4 linked regions of the Drosophila melanogaster genome follow. The protein of the gene in region 3 interacts with the protein of the main gene of each other region in a pairwise test. Each region holds a gene or a part of one and is shown on either strand. Other genes may lie near its edges. The genes, in order: Npc2g, FoxP, CG9632 and lcs.

Region 1 (4,536 bases), about 15 Mb from region 3:
CCGGAAAAGTGAACCTGCTCTAAGCTCCTACCTCAGCCAGCGGAGAGAAGTGGTCTATGTGGATGCGTCACCTTGTTTCGAGCAGGTCAAGTGCGGGATCATCTCGGAGCTCACCAAAACTCCCTATGTGCTGGGTAAAAAATACGGCGAGGCAAATGCCAAAATCTGAATTTGATTCCAGCCACTCTGCATCCAAATTGAGTAACAATGTGTTCTTGGAGTCCTTTCTGTGATTACTCTCGTTATTATTATTATTTGCTCAAGTGTCTGTCGTTGTTTGTGTTATTATTGCCTTGCTTTTTTGGGGTCAGGCCTATCAGACTTCTGACCGAAACCCCCATTCCCATCCAACGAAAAAATATTGCGACGTTTTCGTTTAGGTAAACAGTAGAAGCAAAAGAGAAACGTGTGGCTAGATATGCCGACTATAGGATACCCATCAAGAACATTTTCCAGCGAATACGGTATAACTAGTTCCGCTTAATATTTCTTTTTCAACCAAAAACTGGTAAACAAATCCCCACCAAGCAAATCACCATCCACGCCTTGAAAACGCTGAGTAGCAAAAAGTGATTTTCTATTTGAATTTCCACCACTGAAAAATGTGAACAGAAAAACAATAAAACGCAGGAAAAAATGAGAGGAGAATAAGAGAAAAAACAAATGATTTTATGACCACAACTTAAGTGCTCAATTTTTAATTGTTTGACGATGCTGATAAGACCCGTGGAGGAAAGCTGCCGAGGGCGGGGAGACTTTTTAATGGCACCCAAAAGTTCAATCAAAGTTTTATACATTTTCATTCTGCCCGAGGCATCCGGGGGTTCAAATTAGTCGCCAGCAGGTTGATGATTATTGGAGTAAATATCTTTATTCCTTGAGGTTTTCCCCAGTGGGCCGTAAGCCGGCTCACTTATAATTAAAAAAAACGCACCAAATCGTTAACAGAAAATAAATGCATTCGCCACAATCAGGGGAGCAGCCAATATAGCTCCTTGTATTTTAAGAAACTTGCACATCATTTAAACATCACGGTAATTTATTTTATTTGGGAAAAAAGGTATATTTCACTATTTAATTTAGTGCTCATGCAGCGTGGGCACAAATCAGCGCACCACCTTAATGTCGATGGTGAAGCAGCAGCGCTTCTGGGAGACGGGATCCTTCAGAGCCCAACGGATGGTGTACGGACTCAGGGGAAACTTGGCCTCGATGGGCACCAGGGTGGTGTAGGTCTGTTTCACTCCGGATCTCACGGGGCAGGGTGTGTACTTGCAGGCGGCGCTGTCCAAGGTGAGCAGGGGCAGCTCCACATTCTCGCTCTTGGCCCAGCCCAAGCTGGCTACCAGGGTGTCGGCATCGAAGTTCGGCGTGAAGTCGAAGCTCATCTCACTGTTGTGCTTCCGGCGGATATTGCAAGCCGCATTGTTGAGGGCCTCCGGACATGGCGAGACTCTCACCTGCTGGATCGTACAGGTGTCTACGCTATCCGGACATGGTTCGAAGTTGACCACCTCGGCGGAAGCGGATGACGAGATCAGGACGATGGCGATGGCGACAGCCTGCAGCGAGCTAGGACGCAACATGATGGATCGAAAGCCAGACACGGAATGCAGGCACTTCTACTTCGGACTCGGACTCAAAGCCGGGCTTATCTACGTACCCGTTTGACCCGTGAACTGGGTCACATCTGTGGCTCCAGGCGTGCTGATTAGATTCGAGCTCCTTATCGCAATGTACTTAGAATTGTAAGGGTGTCGCAGACGGCACTTTACGTTTTTGTAAAATTCTGATCAAATATTAAAAAAGTTATGGCTGTTCCCACATTTTTAGTAGAGTATTTATATTTTCAACTAGAAGAAATTAGGTAACCCCGCATATTTTATTGGCATACTCTACCTAATTAGTCATTTCAAAGTGTTAATTGGCACTCATATCAGCAGCATTCCTTGTTCTGCTGACATATTCAAGGTGAAATGAGTCCAATTACTGGGTATACAGATTATAAACAGGTGCCGCTAATTACACCAAACCAAACTATCGTATCGACCCACTTGTAAATCACTTTAATTTCGAAGATATTTAAGATATATATTAATCCAAATATTAAGTGGAGCATCCATTACGGAGTGCACCTTGCTAGCGCACCACCTTGATGTCGATGGTGAAGCAGCAACGTTTCTGGGAAACCGGATCCTTCAGGGCCCAACGGATGGTGTATGGACTCAGCGGGAACCTGGCGTCGGCGGGCATGTTGTTGGTGTAGGTCTGGGTGACTCCGGATCTCACGGGGCAGGTGGTGTACTTGCAGGCCTCCTGGTCCATGGTAAGCAGGGGCAGCTCCACGTTCTCGCTCTTGGCCCAGCCCAAGCTGGCCACCAGGGTGTCCGCATCGAAGTGGGGCGTAAAGTCGAAGCTCATCGTGAAGCGGTGCCTCCGGCGAATGTGGCATGCGGCATTGGCATTGGCTTCCGGACAGGGCGTCACCCGCACCTGACTAATCGAGCAGGAGTCCACACTATCTTCGCAAGTCTGAAAGTTGACTATCTCAGCGGAGACGGATGACAACACCAGAGCAAAGGCGACAGGCAGGAGCGAACTCAGACGCAACATGATGGATCGAAAGTCGGACGCGGAATGCACGTAGTGGCTAAAGTCTATTGGATTGTGGCGATAGAATGCTATACTCTAGAGAATGGAGCATGCCAATGTTTCTTACGTAATTCAAATTATTCAAAATAGTTTCTAACACCGGATGACGTTCGTATTAAAACGTCACAAAATTGAAGCAAACAAAAATTGTAATATACCCAAATTCCCAAAGTTTATTAAAGGCGGATGGATTAAACCCAATAGTTAGAGTAGAAAAGCAAAATTTTCAAAAATTTCGAGTTCTTAAATAGCTCTTATCAACAGCCGGGAACTAAGTGTTATCACCAGGCAGCGAATGTCGGAAAATATAGAGTATAATTAATTGTTTTATAATGGAATTCCACTTAGTACCGCCGACAAGCACTAGTCAGCCTGGAATCTGAGCCCAACGGAAGAGTTGAATATAAAGCAAATGACAGTCGCATCCAGGACAAATGAAGTCCAGTTGAGGTTGTCAATGCCCGTGTCGCAGATCTAAGGCATCTGCCGGGCACAAAACCAATTGATTTCGGCACCCCGCGCCATATGACAAATAAATCGTCACACTTTTCAGTGTCAGCACCCCGAGATGGAAACCGACAGTTGTCAGTCAGGGAAGCCCCGAGATGTGAAAATGCAGGAGTGCTCCACGCTGCGACTCTGAAACTCGAGACGAATCCCGCGGGTCCAAGGATGAGGTCCCGTCGCGAGATGTACATATGCATCGAACTATTTGACTATCGAACTGGGAGCTGTCAATAGGAGGCAGCACGACAATTGCACGGCTCATTTGCGGGAATGCATGTCAACAATCAGGGGCAACAAACAACAGGCGAGGCGATTGACAACCTGACACCCCAAGGCAGTCCAACCCCAAGGTACACTGCGCGAAATTACCAGGGCTAACTGAGGTACAATGATCCAATTAAAAAGCAATTGCAAACCAATTAGATGTGGGATGTGGAATCAGACCTTGAGCTTCACTTATCATATATTCCGACAAATCAATAGTGATTTTTTCGAGTGTTCGCCGGCAATTGCAATTTGATGCGCGCGATTTTTCAACTCTTATACGGGAATCCCCAGGAGTATGCAATTAGCCGCCGAGGAAAACGACTGGCAAAGCGCAACATTTTCCCTGTTTTCCCCCAATTTTCATATCTCTGTTTTCATATGCAAAACATGTTTTTGCGCTCTCAAATTTGTATTCTCAAAAATTGATAGGAAAGTTTTGCAGCCAGAGCATAATTAACACTCGACAAACGCGTTCCTCCGTTTTCCCTAATGTTTTTCGCATAAATTATACGAAATATTCGAGCCCCTTTCCCCTGGCGAATGTGCCTCAGTTTTATTTCCGCGGCGACTTTGTGCCTTTTTTTTTATCAAAGTCCAGTGAACGGTGAATCAACAGAACCGAAACCCAAAGCGAAACCAAAACAGAATTAATTCATTAAAGAAATATGCAAAGCATTAACAAAAAAAAAAAAAAAAAAACAACCAAAACAGCAGCGAAAAAATGGGAAAAGTATCAAGAACTTGATGACGACGGGGTGTTGAGAACACAAAACTGAAATTTATGTTTTATTACTTAATGAACTTACCGCAAATTAAGCCAAGGGTGGACGAGGTTACTGGCCGGGGGTGGGGAAAGGGAAAAGGGCGATGGGAGACGAGGCCTTGTCTTCAATTAATATGCAAAAAATGTCAACATGGACTGCTGCTCATCAAAGTGGCAGCAGGAAAAGTGGGAAAGTCCAGTGCCGAACACTTGAGACGGCAGCAAGGAAATGACCGGACTGCAAATTGGTAAGCAATTAATGGTGACCATTTTTTAATTGAACACACGAATGAGACAAAAAAAAAGGGGTGACTCTCTCGAAGTTAAAATTAAAGGTTTAATATAAA
Region 2 (8,476 bases), 6.1 Mb from region 3:
TTTGAAATTTCGTCGGCTGCACAGAACTATGGATCCTTAAAAGTCCTTATATGCGATTTCATGCAAAACTAGACCATATGGTGCAATATTTATTCATTTTTGCAAGTGATTAATTAATGGTTTTAAAAAATATAACTGCTTGTAAACTATTATCTTAAATGAATACCCAAGAACTTACAGCGATCAAAATTGTTTGTAGCATATGGTCCAAATCACAGATTTGCAACCGGAAGTCCAAAGTTAAATTTTAGAATTACCCAAATTTACAGCGACATGAGTCACATTATTATAAACTCTGTTCCAGAGGGAATGCATTTCGGTTCACATTGGCCAAGCTGGTGTCCAGATCGGCAATGCCTGCTGGGAACTTTACTGCCTGGAGCACGGCATCCAGCCCGATGGCCATATGCCCTCCGATAAAACCGTGGGCGGAGGCGATGACTCCTTCAGCACCTTCTTCAGCGAGACTGGAGCTGGTAAGCATGTGCCGCGTGCCGTGTTCGTGGATCTGGAGCCCACTGTGGTGGATGAGGTGCGGACAGGAACCTACCGCCAGCTGTTCCATCCGGAGCAACTGATCACCGGTAAGGAGGATGCGGCCAACAACTATGCCCGCGGCCACTATACCATCGGTAAGGAGATCGTCGACGTGGTCCTGGACAGGATTCGCAAGTTGGCGGATCAGTGCACGGGTCTGCAGGGATTCCTGGTCTTCCACTCCTTCGGCGGCGGCACTGGCTCTGGATTTACGTCGCTGCTGATGGAGCGCCTGTCCGTGGACTATGGAAAGAAGTCAAAGCTGGAGTTCTCCATTTACCCAGCACCACAAGTATGTCATTTGCATATGGATATTATATCTATTGCTTGAGCATTTATAGAAGACCAATTAACATAATTAGTAAAAGACATGGGAAATTAGTCTTCGAAAGGCAATCTAATAATCGAACTTCCTGTTAGGTGTCCACAGCTGTGGTCGAGCCATACAACTCGATCTTAACCACCCACACAACGCTGGAGCACTCGGACTGTGCGTTTATGGTTGACAACGAGGCAATCTACGACATCTGCCGGCGCAACTTGGATATCGAGCGACCCACCTACATGAATCTCAATCGCCTAATTGGCCAGATCGTTTCCTCCATTACGGCCTCGTTGCGCTTCGATGGCGCCCTGAATGTGGATCTGACCGAGTTCCAGACCAATTTGGTGCCCTACCCACGCATTCATTTCCCACTGGCGACATACGCTCCCGTCATTTCCGTGGAGAAGGCCTACCATGAGCAACTGACCGTGGCCGAGATCACCAATGCCTGCTTCGAGCCGGCCAACCAGATGGTCAAGTGTGATCCGCGTCGTGGCAAGTACATGGCCTGCTGCATGCTCTACCGCGGTGATGTGGTGCCCAAGGATGTGAACGCAGCCATTGCCACCATCAAGACCAAGCGCTCTATCCAGTTCGTCGACTGGTGTCCCACGGGCTTCAAGGTGGGCATCAACTATCAGCCACCCACCGTTGTTCCTGGCGGAGATCTGGCCAAGGTGCAGCGCGCCGTCTGCATGCTGTCCAATACCACTGCCATTGCCGAGGCCTGGGCCCGTCTGGATCACAAGTTCGATCTGATGTACGCCAAGAGGGCCTTCGTCCACTGGTACGTGGGTGAGGGCATGGAGGAGGGCGAGTTCGCCGAGGCTCGCGAGGATCTCGCTGCCCTCGAGAAGGACTACGAGGAGGTAGGCATCGACTCCACCACCGAACTGGGGGAAGATGAGGAATACTAGAGAAAACGTTGTCAACAAATGATACAGCCATTACAACTTTATAAACATCACTTTCTTTCTACCAAATACCAATGCATAAAACAGTTTCGCAATAAAACAGTTTAACACAATTGCTTAAAATGGCTTATTTAAATGGGAAATATTCGTCTTTAGATGGAATTTAACTTTTGTGTTAATAAGAATAAAACTTTCTCATATAAGGAAATTGGTAAATCATATATTTATTGGAAATTACCCCTCCGTAAAAAACCCTACTTATCACTTTCTTATTGCTTTAAATATTAATATTAATTGGGCAAATTAATGTTGACTTTTAAAAGTTTTTAATTTTTGAAATCGTTACGTGTAATGGAGCCTTAGGATGCATTTTGAAACGCATGCGCAAAAATGTGTACACATATTTCTAGCAAATTCAGTAGTCGTAGACGTACCTTTTCAGGAGTAGCAGCGAAAAATATTCTTAAGATAGTTTTTAAGTTTAAATTAATTTTACATATATGTGAAAAGTTGTATTAAAAAATTCGCCCGTTATTAAATATAATATTGTTCTTTGGAAACCTCTGTGAATGTTATTTAATTGTAAATGTACATGCAAAATTGTATCCTCTTTTGTCTGCAAAATTGTATGTGCATGTATGTATTCGCAAAATTTAAGTCTAGTCTGTTAAGTTAATTAAGATATTGTTGAGTAGTCTAGGCAGACAACTTTATCTTAAAAGTCCCAGTTTAAACAGTTCTTATACAGAAATTGTATGATATGTATACATATGAAATATGAATATTTTATTTACCCATATATACCCCTTGGAATAATCAATGCCCCCAACGAATACAGACAATGCAAATCTACACAATACCAACAATATATTTATCTTTATTCGCCTTTACACAAAAAGCTTATGTATATCGAATATAATACTATTTTTTCAGGATCTTCGAATGTGATGAAAACCATACCTCTCTCTTCTCTTTTATATCTTTCTTCTTTTCCTATAAAACATTTAATACTTACATATTTCACCATTTACATTTATTCTTATTTTAGGTGGCTATATAATTTTTCATTACAGGAATTTGATTAAAACAATCGTAAGATGGTCCTATCTGCAAAACTCATATACTCTTCCATTTAAGTTCATCCTATAGCCAAAACGTCCGTCCGTTTTTATATCCGTTTGTCCGTCCGTTTGTATGTCCTTCCGTTTGTATGTCCGTTTGTCCGTCCGTTTGTCCGTCCGTTTGTCCGTCCGTTTGTCCGTCCGTTTGTCCGTCCGTTTGTCCGTCCGTTTGTATGTCCTTCCGTTTGTCCGACCGTTCCGTCTGTATGTTTCTTATGTTATGTATGTTGTATATGTTTCTTTTTAGCAAAATAAGATGTGTCTGGTTTCCTTGCCACCTATGCAATCCCCTTGTGAGATCTTAAACTTGTTATACGCCTAAATATGATAAATGCTTTCTATGAATAACCTTTATATTTACAGATTAACTGCACCGGATGACGTGGCATTTTATTTGTAACATATTTAAAATTAAATCAAACATTTAAAGAATGTTTAATTTAATTTACACTGAATTCATTTAGCACTGGGCCTTTAGTAGGGGTTAAATCTTATATGCGCCAAGTTGTTAAATATTCATAACTTTTGGGGAAAGTATCATCTCAATGATAGTGCGGGAAAATTAAGCTGAAATTAAATAGGGCGTAATAAATAGAAATCCTTAAACTATCACTCTGATTCGGAGTTTTACAGGAATGGCGGCATATGAGTAAAGATAGTTTTATTGAAATGACTCCTAATGACAGACGAAAAAGAGATTATTTCTGTGTATTTGCATATGCCCATCTCTTGGGTAAAGGATCAATGGTAATGATTATAAATTTCAGTTTTAAAAACATGCATCGGATACATGACGACGAGTATTCCGAGGATGCCAAGGAATCGGACTTTAAGAGTTCGATTCAGAAGGAGATATCAGTGAAGTCGAGACACCAAATTTCCATACCAGACATATGCTCAGATGCTGTTAAGAACAATTGTTTTCCGCCGACTGGCTTTCTCAATAACTCGATCACCTTTGCCTCACATGTAGTTAAGTGCAGCTCACCGGCCTCGAGCATCGATGAATCCTCAACGGCGGCCCAGCAGCACGAATCCAATCCACACATGCATATACAGGGTCAGCATATGATGGCTCCCGTTCCCGATCTGGGTTTCTACAATGTGCCCGAGTTCATATCCGAGCAGGAGAAGCTCATGTTCTCCGATGCAGAGAGATTCTTGCGGTCGAAGGATAATGAGGTGTGCAACAATGATTTCAGCTATATGCACGATGAGTTCGCCATGCGGAAGTACTATCATCCGTTATTTGCTCATGGCATATGCCGTTGGCCTGGTTGCGAAATGGATTTGGAAGACATCACATCGTTTGTCAAGTAGGTGGAGTACAATTAGAGGTATGAAATAATTATATAGGGTATGTTATCTAACTAGGCATCTGAATACGGAACATGGTTTGGACGATCGATCAACAGCACAGGCACGGGTTCAAATGCAAGTTGTCTCCCAGCTGGAATCCCACCTGCAAAAAGAACGAGATCGCTTGCAGGCAATGATGCATCACTTGTATTTGTCCAAGCAGCTTTTGTCTCCCACCAAAATCGACAGGAAGGTAAGTCCCTTTTTATGTGAGTAAGTATTGGTATAATGAAAAGTTATAAATATAAGGACGTGCCCGGAAGAGAGGGAAAGTTTTGCCGGAGTCCGCTTACCGTAAATAGCATAGGCCGACCCATCCGACAAACAAATTCACCGAGTCCTCTGAATCTTCCAATGGTTAATTCCACCAACTTGTGCTCGATCAAAAAGAGAAACCACGACAAAAATACATTTTCCATAAATGGGGGTAAGTTTGGGAAAAATTTACTATTACTGTATAAAAATAATAATGGTTTTTGGATATAGGATTACCCTATATGCTTGAAAGAGCAGGTCTTGATGTGCAACAGGGTAAGTAAATTATGTAGACTGATCGTCTTGATGACTATTCGTCTTGTGCTTCTGGAAGACATATAATAAGAATTTAAATTTGCAGAAATCCATCGAAACAGAGAGTTTTATAAGAATGCTGATGTACGACCGCCTTTTACTTATGCTTCCCTCATAAGACAGGTAATTTTAAAAACCAATTTCCTAATATAACATTAATTTATTTTTTTTATATATATTTTATTTATAGGCTATAATTGACTCCCCTGACAAGCAGTTAACCCTAAACGAAATCTACAACTGGTTCCAAAACACATTTTGCTACTTCCGGCGCAACGCAGCTACGTGGAAGGTAAAATGCCCCATATATGTAAATCTTCTTTCCTCCATATTATCTATATATTATGCAACATAACTTTAATTTGAGTATTTATGCTATATGATATGATATCTATGATCTGATATGACCATTTGTCCGTCCGTATAACTCTCGTTTGTCCGATTGGCGTTCCTAGCTTGTCCGCTGTATATATACTATATACTACCTTTTCCACATTGTCCACTACTTTGCCAATATTTAAGAGTATAATAGAGCTAAATACAAGTGATATATAACAAGGTAAGCTACACAGGTCAGATCCTGTTTTATTCCATTTCCTTTTTATATGTCTTAAAATAATCAAATTAAGTTTGGCCTATGCTAACTGATAATATATATCATTAGAACGCAGTCCGGCACAATCTGTCCCTTCATAAGTGCTTTATGCGGGTTGAGAATGTGAAAGGAGCAGTTTGGACTGTCGATGAGATTGAGTTTTACAAAAGACGACCGCAGCGCACTGCTGGCATTGGTAACAATCTAACCGGTGCTACCAATTCGCCGGACACTAACTATTTTGTAGCCATGAACATTGGGTATGTGGGTCTCAAATAGTTTAATTCTACTCACTTTGCTCCAAACTCCTTCCGTTTTGCTCTGTTAGTAAATATACATATGCCATTGCATGCATGCTCCTATATCGAAATGATATAATATGACATTATACGATCTTTTTACAGCGCAAATTGTAAACAGTGATTCTAATCTCTTAGTGGTAGAAACCCAAAATGATGTCCGTCTGCTCATCGATCTGTCTGTCTGTCTGTCTGGAATTTAGCTGATGAAGATTATCCAGGATTTCGCGTGTTATGAAAAATGAAAATAAGAAGACCGAAGACAAATGAACTAACCTTAATATCTCAATGAACTTTTTCTTCCTTTCACGATAATGCAATTTCCTGTTTCTGACTCTTGATGGGGCTCTTGTTTTGTCCAACCAATCATAAAGAATGCGATTCGTACGAACCTTTCCTTACACAAGTGCTTTGTACGTTATGAAGATGACTTTGGCTCGTTTTGGATGGTCGACGATAATGAGTTTGTCAAAAGGCGGCACTTGTCGAGAGGGAGACCCCGGAAATATGAACCGTCCTCCTCCCCAAATTCATGCCAATCCGGCAATGGTGTGCCCACTGATAAGAATCCCTGCGACAATTGTACGCAACATTGCACTAGTTTGCCACCGGGTGCTGATAATCCTCTAGATTCCAATAATCCAAATGATTTAGGCAGAATTGGTTGTCTTCCCTATTGCGGTAGTGATGGTTTAAGTAAAGCGTCCAAGGACTATAGCAATATGGACTCGGGTATGATCGAAAGTAACAGCCACTTGACAATCGATGAATATTCTACTAATATGTACGAGAGTAGTGCCAATGAGCACAATCGATAAATAATATATCATTAACTATACATATATTTAGATGCATTGTCGAGTAATCTGCGTTTGGTAAGAAGGTTCGGATTCGGAAATTATATCTGTACATACACATGGTTCTATGTATAATTTCCCAAATAGAAATGAAAAAATACTTTTAAAATAAATTTCACTAATGCTATAAAATAAACGAAAGAACTACGTTAAATTATTAAAGCAAAATTAATGTGTTTAAACTTGCTTTAATAACTCCACTTATAACACGATTTTAATATACGAGTACAACATATATGAATATTTTCACTTTTCAGCAAGGGAGAAAACATTTAAAAGCTATAGCTTGATAAAATTTTAACAAAACTGTTTTAAAAGTCACAATATGATTTTTTTTTAAGGAAACTATTTTCAGGTATACCTTCTGTTAAAAATCTGGACCCTTGAGAGCTTTAGATTTGGAAACTCCTTAGTAAACGTATATGCTTTTCTGCTGACTTATCTAATTTCCTTCTAATTTAAGATCATTAACGATACTCAGTGACCTAAATAAATTCCTCAAATATACAACAAAGTGAACAAACTGAATTTTATTTCTAGTTCCTAAGCAAACGGTTTACGCGACGTAAAAGCGGTTAAATCGGCTTCTCAAAAGTTTGTCAATCAAAGTTTTCTACCAATTCATTATTTTAAAGCGGTCTTTAGTATATTTTAGTATATTCTATTGGAGATTTTTTGGACTGCCACTATTTAAGGAAAAACAACCGATAAGAATGGACGCATTCGTGAACTTCTGTATCTTAAATTTAATAAAATATATACAGCCTAAGTACACATATTGTAGTCAATGTCAATTTAATTTGAAAGTAAAGTTTTTGTTTACCAATAAATTTGTTTGGAGAATGTATCGATACCGTCGAATTTTCCGGCAACCATCGATACAGTCGGGCGGCATCGGTTTTCGTCCCAGCTCTAGCCAGTACGGTCACTCTGAAAGTCTCTCAACGTTTTGTGACATGAAAATTCAACGAGGACACTGTGTACATGAATAGTTGAAAAATTAAAATGGTTTCCATGCAATTTGTTTTGCAACCGCTACCGGGCTCGGACGATCAGTTTATTGAAAGGTAAATATAATCCTCGCGTACCGCAATTACGCACATGTGAACGCGGAATTCCGTGTAATTGTGTACGTACGGCTGCATGTATTTGTTATGTGAAAATATGTAGGTACGCAGCTATATGTATACGCAGGAAGATATGTACATATGATCATTAACGTAAAACGCGAGCCACAGACACTGGCGGACTTACCTCATCTAGTGCCGTCCACGCGGTTCTGTAAACATTAGCCGCAGAATTTGCGAAATGCACTTGCGTTTCCCACTTTTCATCCACAATTAATTCTCTAACCATTCGCATATGTGTGTGTGTGCGAATGTGTGCGACATGTGAACGGTAGCATGTGTGAGTGCATGTGCATACATGCTGATTAATTTGTTCATATTTAACTATTTGTGCTGAGCAAACTATTGAAATGTTTATATTATAAGCTTCTCGAAAGAAGCTTGCAGAAGTCCATGCTTCCGACTAAAATGTACAATGTTACAAACATGTTTTCACATGCTTGATTTGTACATTATATTTCGCCGAATGTCGCTCTTTCAGCACATGGCATGAAATCGTTCAGCGTTTTCCATAACCCAAAACCTTTAAACGCCAAATAATCGTAACACCGGCTCTTTTTCTTCCTTGGTGATGTGCACTTTTCTTAGAAGCTTTAAATTTTCCAGTCGTCAATCATAAAAAGTCTGGCAAGGCCAGAAATCATCCATAAAATGCACCCTACGCTTAGGAGATTTAGAACATGCATCGACTTGCTCGTATTCTTAATACATTTTCTCCCATTTTAGGATTCGTGAAGTGTCGGATAAGGTGAACCGATTTGGTTATGGCAGC
Region 3 (5,154 bases):
ATTAACGGAGATCGCCAAATCTTCATACCAGTGGGCATGTTCCGCAAGAGCAAAGTGGCCATCAAGCCAGTGGAGGTGGACAACGTTCAGGGCCTGCTGACTCGCAGCTTAATGCTGGAACTGAAACGGATGAAGGACTTGCAGCACGACCACTTGGTCAAGTTCTATGGCGCGTGTTTGGATCAGAGGCGTAGTTTCCTGCTCACCGAATACTGTCCCAAGGGCTCGTTGCAGGATATCCTCGAGAACGAGCAGTTCCAGCTGGACTGGATGTTCCGCCTGTCGCTGATGCACGACATCGTGCGTGGAATGCAGTTTCTACACAGCTCCGACATTCGGTCTCACGGCAACCTGAAGTCCTCGAACTGCGTGGTCGACTCCCGATTTGTGCTCAAGATCACCGACTTTGGATTGCACACCCTGCGGCGGACGAGATTCGACCTGGAAAGTGATGGGGGCAACTGCAATAGCCACGCCTACTGGAGCAGTAAGTAGTCCCAGTTTGCTACTGTGTGCAGTGCACTGAACAAAAAGTTAATTGAATGCAGCAAGAATTTCCTTGTAAATTTTTTTATTTAATATTATTTTCCAAGTTTCGAAATATATTTTAAATATATATGTAACTTATTTTCCCGTACAGAGCTCTTGTGGACAGCCCCCGAACTGCTGAGAGTGGAGCACAATCGTCCGCCGGAGGGCACACAGAAGGGTGATGTCTACGCCTTTGGAATCATTGTGCACGAGATAACCACGCGACAAGGACCCTTCTACCTGGGCAGATGTGCGTACGAGAAATCGCCACAAGGTATGCTATTCAAGTGTTTCACATTCTATACCCTCCTCTCGTCCTTCGAGTGTCCTTTTCACTTGGCCGTTTCGTGTTGCGGCCGATTTTGTCTGTGCGGAATTTTAATGCCAGATTTTTGCACATGTTGCGGTTATTTCGCCCGTCAGTTGGCCACTCGGCTGGTGGTTAAGGCGGTTGTGGTTGGAGGAGCAAGGAGGAGCACTGCAAAATACGCAGTCGAAATAGTGAAAGCCCGTGTCCAATGCCAATATTTTTGTATAATCTTAAACAGGGTAAACATTAAAAAATTAGTTGGATGCTGAAATTTAATTCACTCAAATCATTTTATAAACGAACTTAAAAGACCAAATTAAGTAGTCAGCGAAATGTTCTGCTAATAAAAATGTACCAAAATAGGAGCCTTCGGCTTAGCAATTCTATTTAATTAAAGATCCTGCATCAAGCACGAAACCCAAAGTACTTGTATTTTGAAGTATGTATGTTGCTAGCCTTTATGATGTTCTATCTTCCTGGTTGAAGTACACATTGCCCTGTTGAACCGCAGACCAACTTCGAGTTCCGCGCCGATTTCAAAAACTTTGCCTTCTACTTGGCACTTGACGATTTCATCAAATTAGGCCGTGACTGGGAATCAGACTCGTCCTTAGGCCGCAGAATGCAACTTTGGCATCTGGCACTAGACGACGTCTGTAGGCGAATTTAATTGCGGTGCCAGCGAATCTGGAAATCGAAATCAAAGTGCTGGCTGGTCGAAAAAGGCAAATCACGAACTCTCTCTGCGGTGGGGCACGTCCTGGCAGCTGGAATCGTTGGCGAGGTTCAAGCCGCATCCGAAGGGCAGGAAGGCCCAGCAGCCGGGTAGCTTCCTCTTGGTCCTGGTCTTCTTCTTGTGCTTGTCCTTCTCTCTACCGCCGGCTTGGTTCTGGTTTTTGTTGTGTTTCTCGCATGGCGTGTTCTTTATTGGGGATTTTCCGCATTCCTTCTCCTTCTTGCTGGACTTCATACCTGCGTTGATGCTGGCATCGGGTCCGGGTGTTTCCTGCCACGCCTGGTAGCACTGCCTCCGCTGAACCTCCAGCTTGCGCAGCCACTCGATGCGTGATCTTTCCCAGCCTCTGTGCGAAATGGTGGAAGGTGGTGTTTTCTCCCTGCACCCGAACACCACCTCAATATCGGTCGGTTCTGATGGATTCCGGTTGTCCATGCCGCCGCACTGCCTTCTCTTGAGCTTCTTTTTCGGACCACTGGTCATGTTCCACAGGAGATCAGCCATTTGGGCCTTGCTCAGCGATTGCCGGCGATTGCAGATGAGCTGCAGCAGGATCTCGTGCTGGTTGCAAGGCCTCATTTCCTGGGGTTTCGGAGGCTTTGCATGTGCAAAGAAGCTGACCAAGTCCAGATATTCCATTCCCGTGCTCATATTGCGGAACGGTGTTTAGATGTCCGAATTCGGAATCCACCAAAGGATCCAGTCTGGTGTTAACATAAAACTGCACTTAACACGAATAATTTACATAACATGTTTACACAAAACTATTTCCAAATTGAAGGCTAATTCAACGTTATTTTGTTTGTCGTACGATCAGAAATAATCGAACTCGTGAAGGGATACAATCCTCATAGAATGCAGAAACCATTCCGTCCTGAACTTGAACCAAACGGTGATACCAAGGCGGACATCAATGGCATAATCCGTCGCTGCTGGGCAGAGGATCCTGCCGAGCGTCCGGACTTTAATACCCTGAAATCGATGATACGCAGATTTAATAAGTAAGTACTAACTGAATCCATAGTTATGGATTCCTCACTAACTTTGACTGCTTTACAGAGACAACGAGACGGGAAACATTGTAGACAATCTGCTGAAGCGCATGGAACTGTATGCCAACAATCTGGAGGAACTGGTGGAGGAGCGCACCCAGGACTACCACGAGGAGAAAAAGAAGTGCGAGAAGCTGCTGTACCAATTGCTGCCGCAAAGCGTCGCCGCCCAGCTCATCAGCGGACAGCCAGTGGTGGCGGAGACCTTTGACCAGGTGACCATATACTTCAGTGACATCGTGGGCTTCACTGCCATCTCGGCGGAGAGCACGCCCATGCAGGTGGTGCAGTTCCTGAACGACCTGTACACCTGTTTCGATTCCATTGTGGAGAACTTTGATGTTTACAAAGTGGAGACCATTGGAGATGCGTACATGGTTGTGTCCGGACTGCCCATTCGAAATGGCAATCAGCACGCCCGGGAGATCGCCCGTTTGGCACTGGCCCTCTTGGAGGCGGTGCACAATTTCCGCATCCACCATCGTCCGGAGGATCGGTTGAAGCTAAGGATAGGCCTGCACACCGGTGCCTGTGTGGCCGGAGTGGTGGGCCTGAAGATGCCACGCTACTGTCTGTTTGGTGACACTGTGAACACTGCCTCCCGAATGGAGTCCAATGGTGAAGCGCTCAAGATCCACATAAGTGAGACCACAAAGGAGGCGCTCGACGAGTTCGGCACCTTTGTGACCACACGCCGCGGATTTGTGCCCATGAAGGGCAAAGGTGAGATGCTGACCTACTGGCTGGAGGGCGAGGTACCCCGCCCCAACTCCCTGATCTCGCCCAGCAAGCTGATGCTCACGCGTCGCTCCTCACTGAAACAACCGCAGCGCAGCCAATCGCATAATCTTCACAAGCAGTACTCCGAACTAGTGGTGGCCTCGCCACCACCCCAGTTACCGCCACCTGCGATCGCTCTGCCACCGCCACCGTCGCCGTCCAAGGATTCGCCCAATCTCCGCGTGAAACGCAAGATCAGCTCCAGTTCACCCAAGCTGAATGGCGGCGGCTTTGACTATCACAAGACTGAGAACCACTATCTGGATACGGCGGCGGCTGCCCAGAGGAACTGCGACATCTACAGCAGCCGCAGTCTGAGGGACATGGAGGAAACCTCCGATAGCTGGGAGCTGGCACACTTCCGGCTGCCGCTGAGCGGAGCACTCAAGAGCCACCATCACCTCAATAACAATAGCCACGGCTATGTGCACTCGAATTCCAGCTCCAATCTGAGCGGTATCCTGCAGCCGCCGCCACTGGGTGTCCAACGCACCCGGCTGAAGCCCTCGCCCACGATCTCAACGCTGCTGACAAGCGCCAGGAGTGAGGCCAATGCCTCCCCAGGCCCCGAAACGGGCAGCATGGGCAGTGGGCAGCTGAGGATCAAGTTTGCTGAAGGAGACGAGACCCCACTGCTGCCCACACCGCCGCCGCTGGCTGCTCCTCCACCGATTCCACAGATGGTGGCCGCCAGTCCGCAACGGAGCGGCAGTGGCCAGAACATTCCGGCGGACAGCAGCCACTACGGCTTCCTGGTGAAGAGCTACAAGCAGCAGTGCCCACCGGTGGCGGGCAGTGCCGTCACCCAGCCACTGCTGGCCAAGATCAACTCATAGCTGTATGGGGGGGAGTCGACTCCCTCTTCACTGTAATCATATGCATATTAAATGTACTTGTTTGTGATAATAAGTTAAACCCAAGTTGAACAAGTTAGTGGTTAGTCAATAGTCGACCGAATCAAATTCGAAATTCGTACGGGAAATCTTCTAAAATGTTTCCTAGGTTTTAATCGCCCCATCCCCTTACTCATAAGTAGCGAATTTTATATTTAACCAAACCTCAAATTAAACAAAAATAAAAACAAAAAAGGCAACTCTAGATGTAAATAGAAACTTACTCCCAATCAATTTGTTCCTTGTGCTTTGAATATTCATTCTCTACAAACTCAAAAACTTAGCTTAGTTATTACCTAAGGTTAAGCGTAGACAATTTGTGAAAATTTCTTGAATGTAAAGTATTAGATGAACATTGAATATTTATTTTGAGAATTGACGAATAAAGAAATCTATATAATCTGTATATTTTACCCGCAGTATGTCGAAATAGGGTTTTAAAAACAAGGAATATTGAAATAATCACAATTTCTGATAAGATGGTGTGTTGAAAACCAGGAATGGTAAAGTAATCGCAAATTCTGATAAGAAAATGGTTTGAAAACTGGGCGCCAAGCTGAAAACCAGGGCTGAAAGCTAGCGTGACCGTTTCCAGAAAATTTGTTACCTTCAATTTGATAAGAGAATTACTTTAAACCTTTGATAGCTTAAAATTAAATCACTTAAACAAACTCTCCCTGAATTTATTATAGCAATCGAAAATGTTATATATTAAGCTATGTTCATTTAAATGAATCTCACCTGTTTCCACTGTACAATGTGTATGTGGTATGTTGTGTGTAAGCAGAAACGGCCATACCGAACCCTTGGGTCAAAATTATTTATGTTGATCGTAGTTGGTGGTGATTGGGT
Region 4 (4,436 bases), on a different chromosome or scaffold from region 3:
ATATATAAGGGGGGAAAAATTATCAGATTTCAATCAAAAATAAGCCGCTACAGCATTCGACATAAAAACAAGAGGGAATCTTATAGTCGAGTTCGTAGAGTTATTTTCGATAAAATATCGAAAAATGGTTCAAAAATGTGGCCGTGGCAGTTTTGTGCGGTTTTAGGGCGTTAGAGTGGTCGTGGCAAAAAGTTTTTTATTGTACATCGATAGGAATTTACAAGACTAATAAAAATGTAAAAAAATTGTGGGCGGCTATTGATTCTGATCAAGAATATATATACTTTATATATTCAGAAGCGAATGTACATACTGTATGTATGTGTATATGTATATATGTATATATACACAAATTCTTCTACATGCTATCTACATGCTAATACTAATGAGCCATAATGCTTTAAACTGTCACAATCATATACACTTCAATCGTTCCTTATCACATACAATTTATTGTATAATACATATCATTCCAATCCAAGAATGCAACATTTTGGAGTGGCTTATATTCAATATCTAAAGTAACCAGAACTGAGAAATAGCACGTTACTCATACACATACATTAAAGTGTTTTTTTTTTTCAAATTTCTTTTTATAAGAAACCGTAGACCTGGAAACACATCCTGAAAACAAGAGTATTTATTAGAGGACACCCTAAACGCCTTTGTTCACTGGCACATAACCAGTTGAGTGAATGCGTGTGTGTTCGTTATGGCAAAGCCATAATCTTGTTGTTTTATAACTTTTAATGCCTCCTAATCCAGTTGCTGCTCCTCGGGCTCATCCTTTTAAGCTTCTGTACCTTCTTCTTGGATTCCACTAGCGCCAGTTCTGTCGCAAATTGACCAAATGCACTTAATTGGTAAACAATTTGGCTTTCACCCAAGCGAGAAACGAGGCCGGCTCGAATAAGTTCGATTCCAATTGGCCCGGGGAATGATTTGCTTCAAATTCTCAATGCACTTCCTAATCGCCAGTGGATAATTTAGCACTGGCATTGCATAATGCCATTTAACTAATTGTTCTAAAATTACTTAACTCACGAAAAGTTTTAGTATTGGCCGAAGTAATTAAATGGCTCGCGTGGTACTCGCATGTACCTTCTGGCTTGATACATCAAGTTGATCATAAGCCAAACATGGATGAAGATCCTTTGGATAACTATTTGGCATTCAAGGATTAACTTAGATAAAAAAATCACGATTGAGCTAAAAAAAAAAATTTATTACGCACAGATTCGCTTTTTGATATATACAATTATTTATGAACCCGGAATAGCCGAATGGGCAAAACTCGAAGGGGAACATGTCAAGCGATTTATTCTGTGGAGGATGCTGTGGATGATTCCGTCGAGGATTCCGTAGAGGACTCTGTAGTGGAGGACACTGTAGTGGACGAAGCTGTCGTGGTGGAAGTGCTTGTTGAGGCCTCAGTTGTCGTGGATGTGGTTTGGTTGGATGGAGGTCCCCATGGTTTGGGGCCTCCTGGTCCACCTGGTCCTCCTGGGCATCCTGGTCCTCCTGGGCCTCCTGGTCCTCCTGGTCCTCCTGGGCCTCCTGGGCCTCCTGGTCCTCCAGGTCCTCCAGGTCCGCGACCTCCTGGGCCACCTGGTCCGCCAGGTCCACGTCCTGGTCCTCCGCGACCACGACCTGGTCCACCAGGTCCACCAGGTCCACCGGGACCCCAAGGACCAGGTCCTTGGGCGGAGGCCACTGCGACCAGGGCAACAAGAGTAACAAGGATAAGGGTACGCATTTCGTTATCTGATAGTTAACGACTCGAACTGATCTCGGCATTACTTGGCATCGGTATATATACCCACCGTCTGCTAAAAGTCTCGGTGGCACATGTGTTCCATCGGTGACGTTTGCGCGTTGAGCAAACTAACGTCAGTGTGGATTTGTAAATTCCACTTTCCAAGTCAGTCACTTCGCAATTGACATTGGCCTTCACTCTGGGGTTCTGTCAGATGGAAAGAATATGAGTTTGTAGACAATGGTTGATTCATGTTTAGGTTTATTTCCAAAATTGTTGGTTACAAAGCTTTGTTAATGAGTCTATAAAAAATATATACTCTTCTCTATTTTTTCTGAATTTAATAAATTATTCATATTGAAATGGTACTATTACACATATTTGAAAATAAAGTTTTATAAAATTGAATGCTGGATAAATGCGTCTTAAAATCAATTGCATCTAAAACTATTTCAGTTCAGAACTTAACAATGCTTTTACCTTATGGTAGTAAAGTACGAATAATTTCTACCAGCTGTTTGGATTGCTTTATGGATCTTACATAAAGGAATCAGCAAGTTCCGTGAGCCATTATCTAGCTAAATATTTGCGCTCCATCCATATGTGATGAACTTTGTGGCCAGGCGTCAGTGGACTTGATGTTTATAAACCATCAATCGTGTCTTTGACAAGAGTGTGAATTACCTAAGAATAAGGATGTTTGAACAAGTGGTTCCGTTAGGCTTTAATGAAAGTCAAATTTGCAAACACGTAAAGTTGAAAACAACTAAGGAAAGAGAAATCGTAAGAAATTCTGGAAAGTCTATTATATAAATCTTTAAGTTGTTAATACTACAGAAATGACTTACTTAACATGAATTCAGTGCATTCTTACTATATGTCGATAGTAAAAAAATCCTCTTGGGGCTATATTACCACTTACCACTTATTAGTGCTTTACTCAAAACTCAATATAATGTGACGATACATCTATGTATATGCTTATGTACACTAGTCGGCATAAGTATTTTGACAATATAAACGCAGTAAAACTTTAAAATATTTTGATATGACAACAATGATTTTTGTTGTTGTGTGTAAGTAACATAAATTTAAAAATTAACTAACGAAACTTAAAAATATATAAACAATTTAATGAAATATGATGATTTTTTGTATTGGCTTAAAGTTTTTGACAAGCCTTTAACACCTCAGTAAATAAGTTTAATTGAAGCTGGAGCTTAGGAGTAGGGAACCAATTAATAAAATATATATCCACCTTTGGCATAAATAACTTTTTGAAGTCGGTCCTTTACTGAATCCACCAAATTGTAAAGGATCTCTGGATCCTTCCTCTCTTTTCGGAAGGCTGGTGGTCAGATACCACTGAGATTGGTGTTTTGGAAGAGGATTTTTTTAAATTCCCGTATAAGGATTCTGTCGTCAGCGAATGTTGTTTTGCGCCTAGGTTTAGTTCTTTTTAAATTTTTCAAAACTTTTTAATTTGATAATACACAGAATGGCGTGACAAATTAAACTCTTTCGCAATGTTTTTTTTACTTTAATTCCAACGTTAAATTGTGCTACCATTAATCCATTAATCTAATAAACAAACTTAACTTTTTACACATACCTATTAATTATTTTTTTTGTTTTTAATAACGTTTAATAACCAAAAAAAAAAAAATAATAATAACCAATATATTAAAGCTCAAAAGCAGGATACCATTTAGTAAATGGTTGTCTGCGTGCATTCTTGTAAGTAGAAAGGGAATGCAATGGGTAAGCCGTAAACAAATTTGCATTTGGTGTGCTAAATGTTCATTCATCATTCATGAGCAATGCAAATGCTCATCGTTTCGCTCTGTTTGTTAATGTCAAGCGCAAGTAAGTTTTAAAAGAAGCAGGCTATTTTGTCAAAATAGTTACTGGTGTAACTGGTGTATGTGATATGTATTTCCTCTTATTTTTTTTTTTTGGCTACGCAAATGTTCTAGAAATAAAAGCGAACGTTATTGGCCGTGGAGGTAAGTGAAATTTCATCAAGGTTTTTGTTTGTATACAAAGTTCGTCTTCTTTCTAATAGTATGATTTACATGCATCGTTCTCTCAGCAACCAACGACCCCGAATATTTTCTAGGAATTTACGCAACTGTCATTTGCAGTGTTGAAAAGTGTTTTTGTTCAATTATTTCCATCCGATGCCAGTAGCGTTTCGGTTCTCTCCGGCTTCACCGTTTCGCTCGCTCGCACATATGCATACCATGAAGTTGTTGTTGTTAATTGGAATAAATTGCTTCGGTGCTTTATTTAAAGAGGAATTTGTTTTGTTGCAGCATCGTACAACAAAATGCTTAATTAAGTTTTTGGTCTTGTTGCTTCAATTGTTATTTGTCTACACTTTTTTCAAATGCCTCTGGCTCTGTGTGTGTGTGAGTGTGGAAGCGTCTGCGCGAGTGTGCAATTGAGAATGCCGGTATAGAACAATGGCTGTTTAGAGCTGCTTTACACACGTAGAAATGATACCCTAAATGAGTTCTTTGAAAACATCCGTCCGTCAGTCCGTCCGTCTGTCCGTTCATACGAACGGTGTTATATCCGGAACTAAAAAAGCTAAAAAAATTAAGATTTGGTATAGGAACGAACACTTAGTACCTTTTATTTCCTTGATCTTTATTGTTCGTCCATTTTACACTCGATC

The links.
Region 1: the proteins of CG9632 (region 3) and Npc2g interact in a two-hybrid assay, tested with the Drosophila melanogaster proteins (one large-scale study listed by BioGRID).
Region 2: the proteins of CG9632 (region 3) and FoxP interact in a two-hybrid assay, tested with the Drosophila melanogaster proteins (one large-scale study listed by BioGRID).
Region 4: the proteins of CG9632 (region 3) and lcs interact in a two-hybrid assay, tested with the Drosophila melanogaster proteins (one large-scale study listed by BioGRID).

The regions. Positions count from the first base shown.
Region 1 is NT_033777.3:30,743,648-30,748,183, forward strand, and holds Npc2g (Niemann-Pick type C-2g), read right to left. Parts: upstream 1,617-4,536; 5' UTR 1,587-1,616; coding exon 1,107-1,586; 3' UTR 958-1,106; downstream 1-957. Other genes in the region: CG15543 (uncharacterized protein), read left to right, coding at 1-169; Npc2h (Niemann-Pick type C-2h), read right to left, coding at 2,140-2,613.
Region 2 is NT_033777.3:9,724,632-9,733,107, reverse strand, and holds FoxP (forkhead box P), read left to right. Parts: upstream 1-2,235; 5' UTR 2,236-3,674; coding exon 3,675-4,213; intron 4,214-4,271; coding exon 4,272-4,449; intron 4,450-4,505; coding exon 4,506-4,683; intron 4,684-4,742; coding exon 4,743-4,787; intron 4,788-4,872; coding exon 4,873-4,949; intron 4,950-5,016; coding exon 5,017-5,118; coding exon of another isoform or gene 5,119-5,181; exon of another isoform or gene 5,182-5,490; coding exon of another isoform or gene 5,491-5,700; exon of another isoform or gene 5,701-5,957; intron 5,958-6,094; coding exon 6,095-6,538; 3' UTR 6,539-7,088; downstream 7,089-8,476. Other genes in the region: alphaTub85E (alpha-Tubulin at 85E), read left to right, coding at 305-829, 958-1,779; hyd (hyperplastic discs), read left to right, coding at 7,583-7,644, 8,431-8,476.
Region 3 is NT_033777.3:15,857,422-15,862,575, reverse strand, and holds CG9632 (uncharacterized protein), read right to left. Parts: upstream 2,381-5,154; 5' UTR 2,229-2,380; coding exon 1,572-2,228; 3' UTR 1,098-1,571; downstream 1-1,097. Other genes in the region: CG31183 (uncharacterized protein), read left to right, coding at 1-487, 641-805, 2,395-2,578, 2,637-4,245.
Region 4 is NC_004354.4:21,395,525-21,399,960, forward strand, and holds lcs (la costa), read right to left. Parts: upstream 1,793-4,436; 5' UTR 1,757-1,792; coding exon 1,319-1,756; 3' UTR 1,203-1,318; downstream 1-1,202.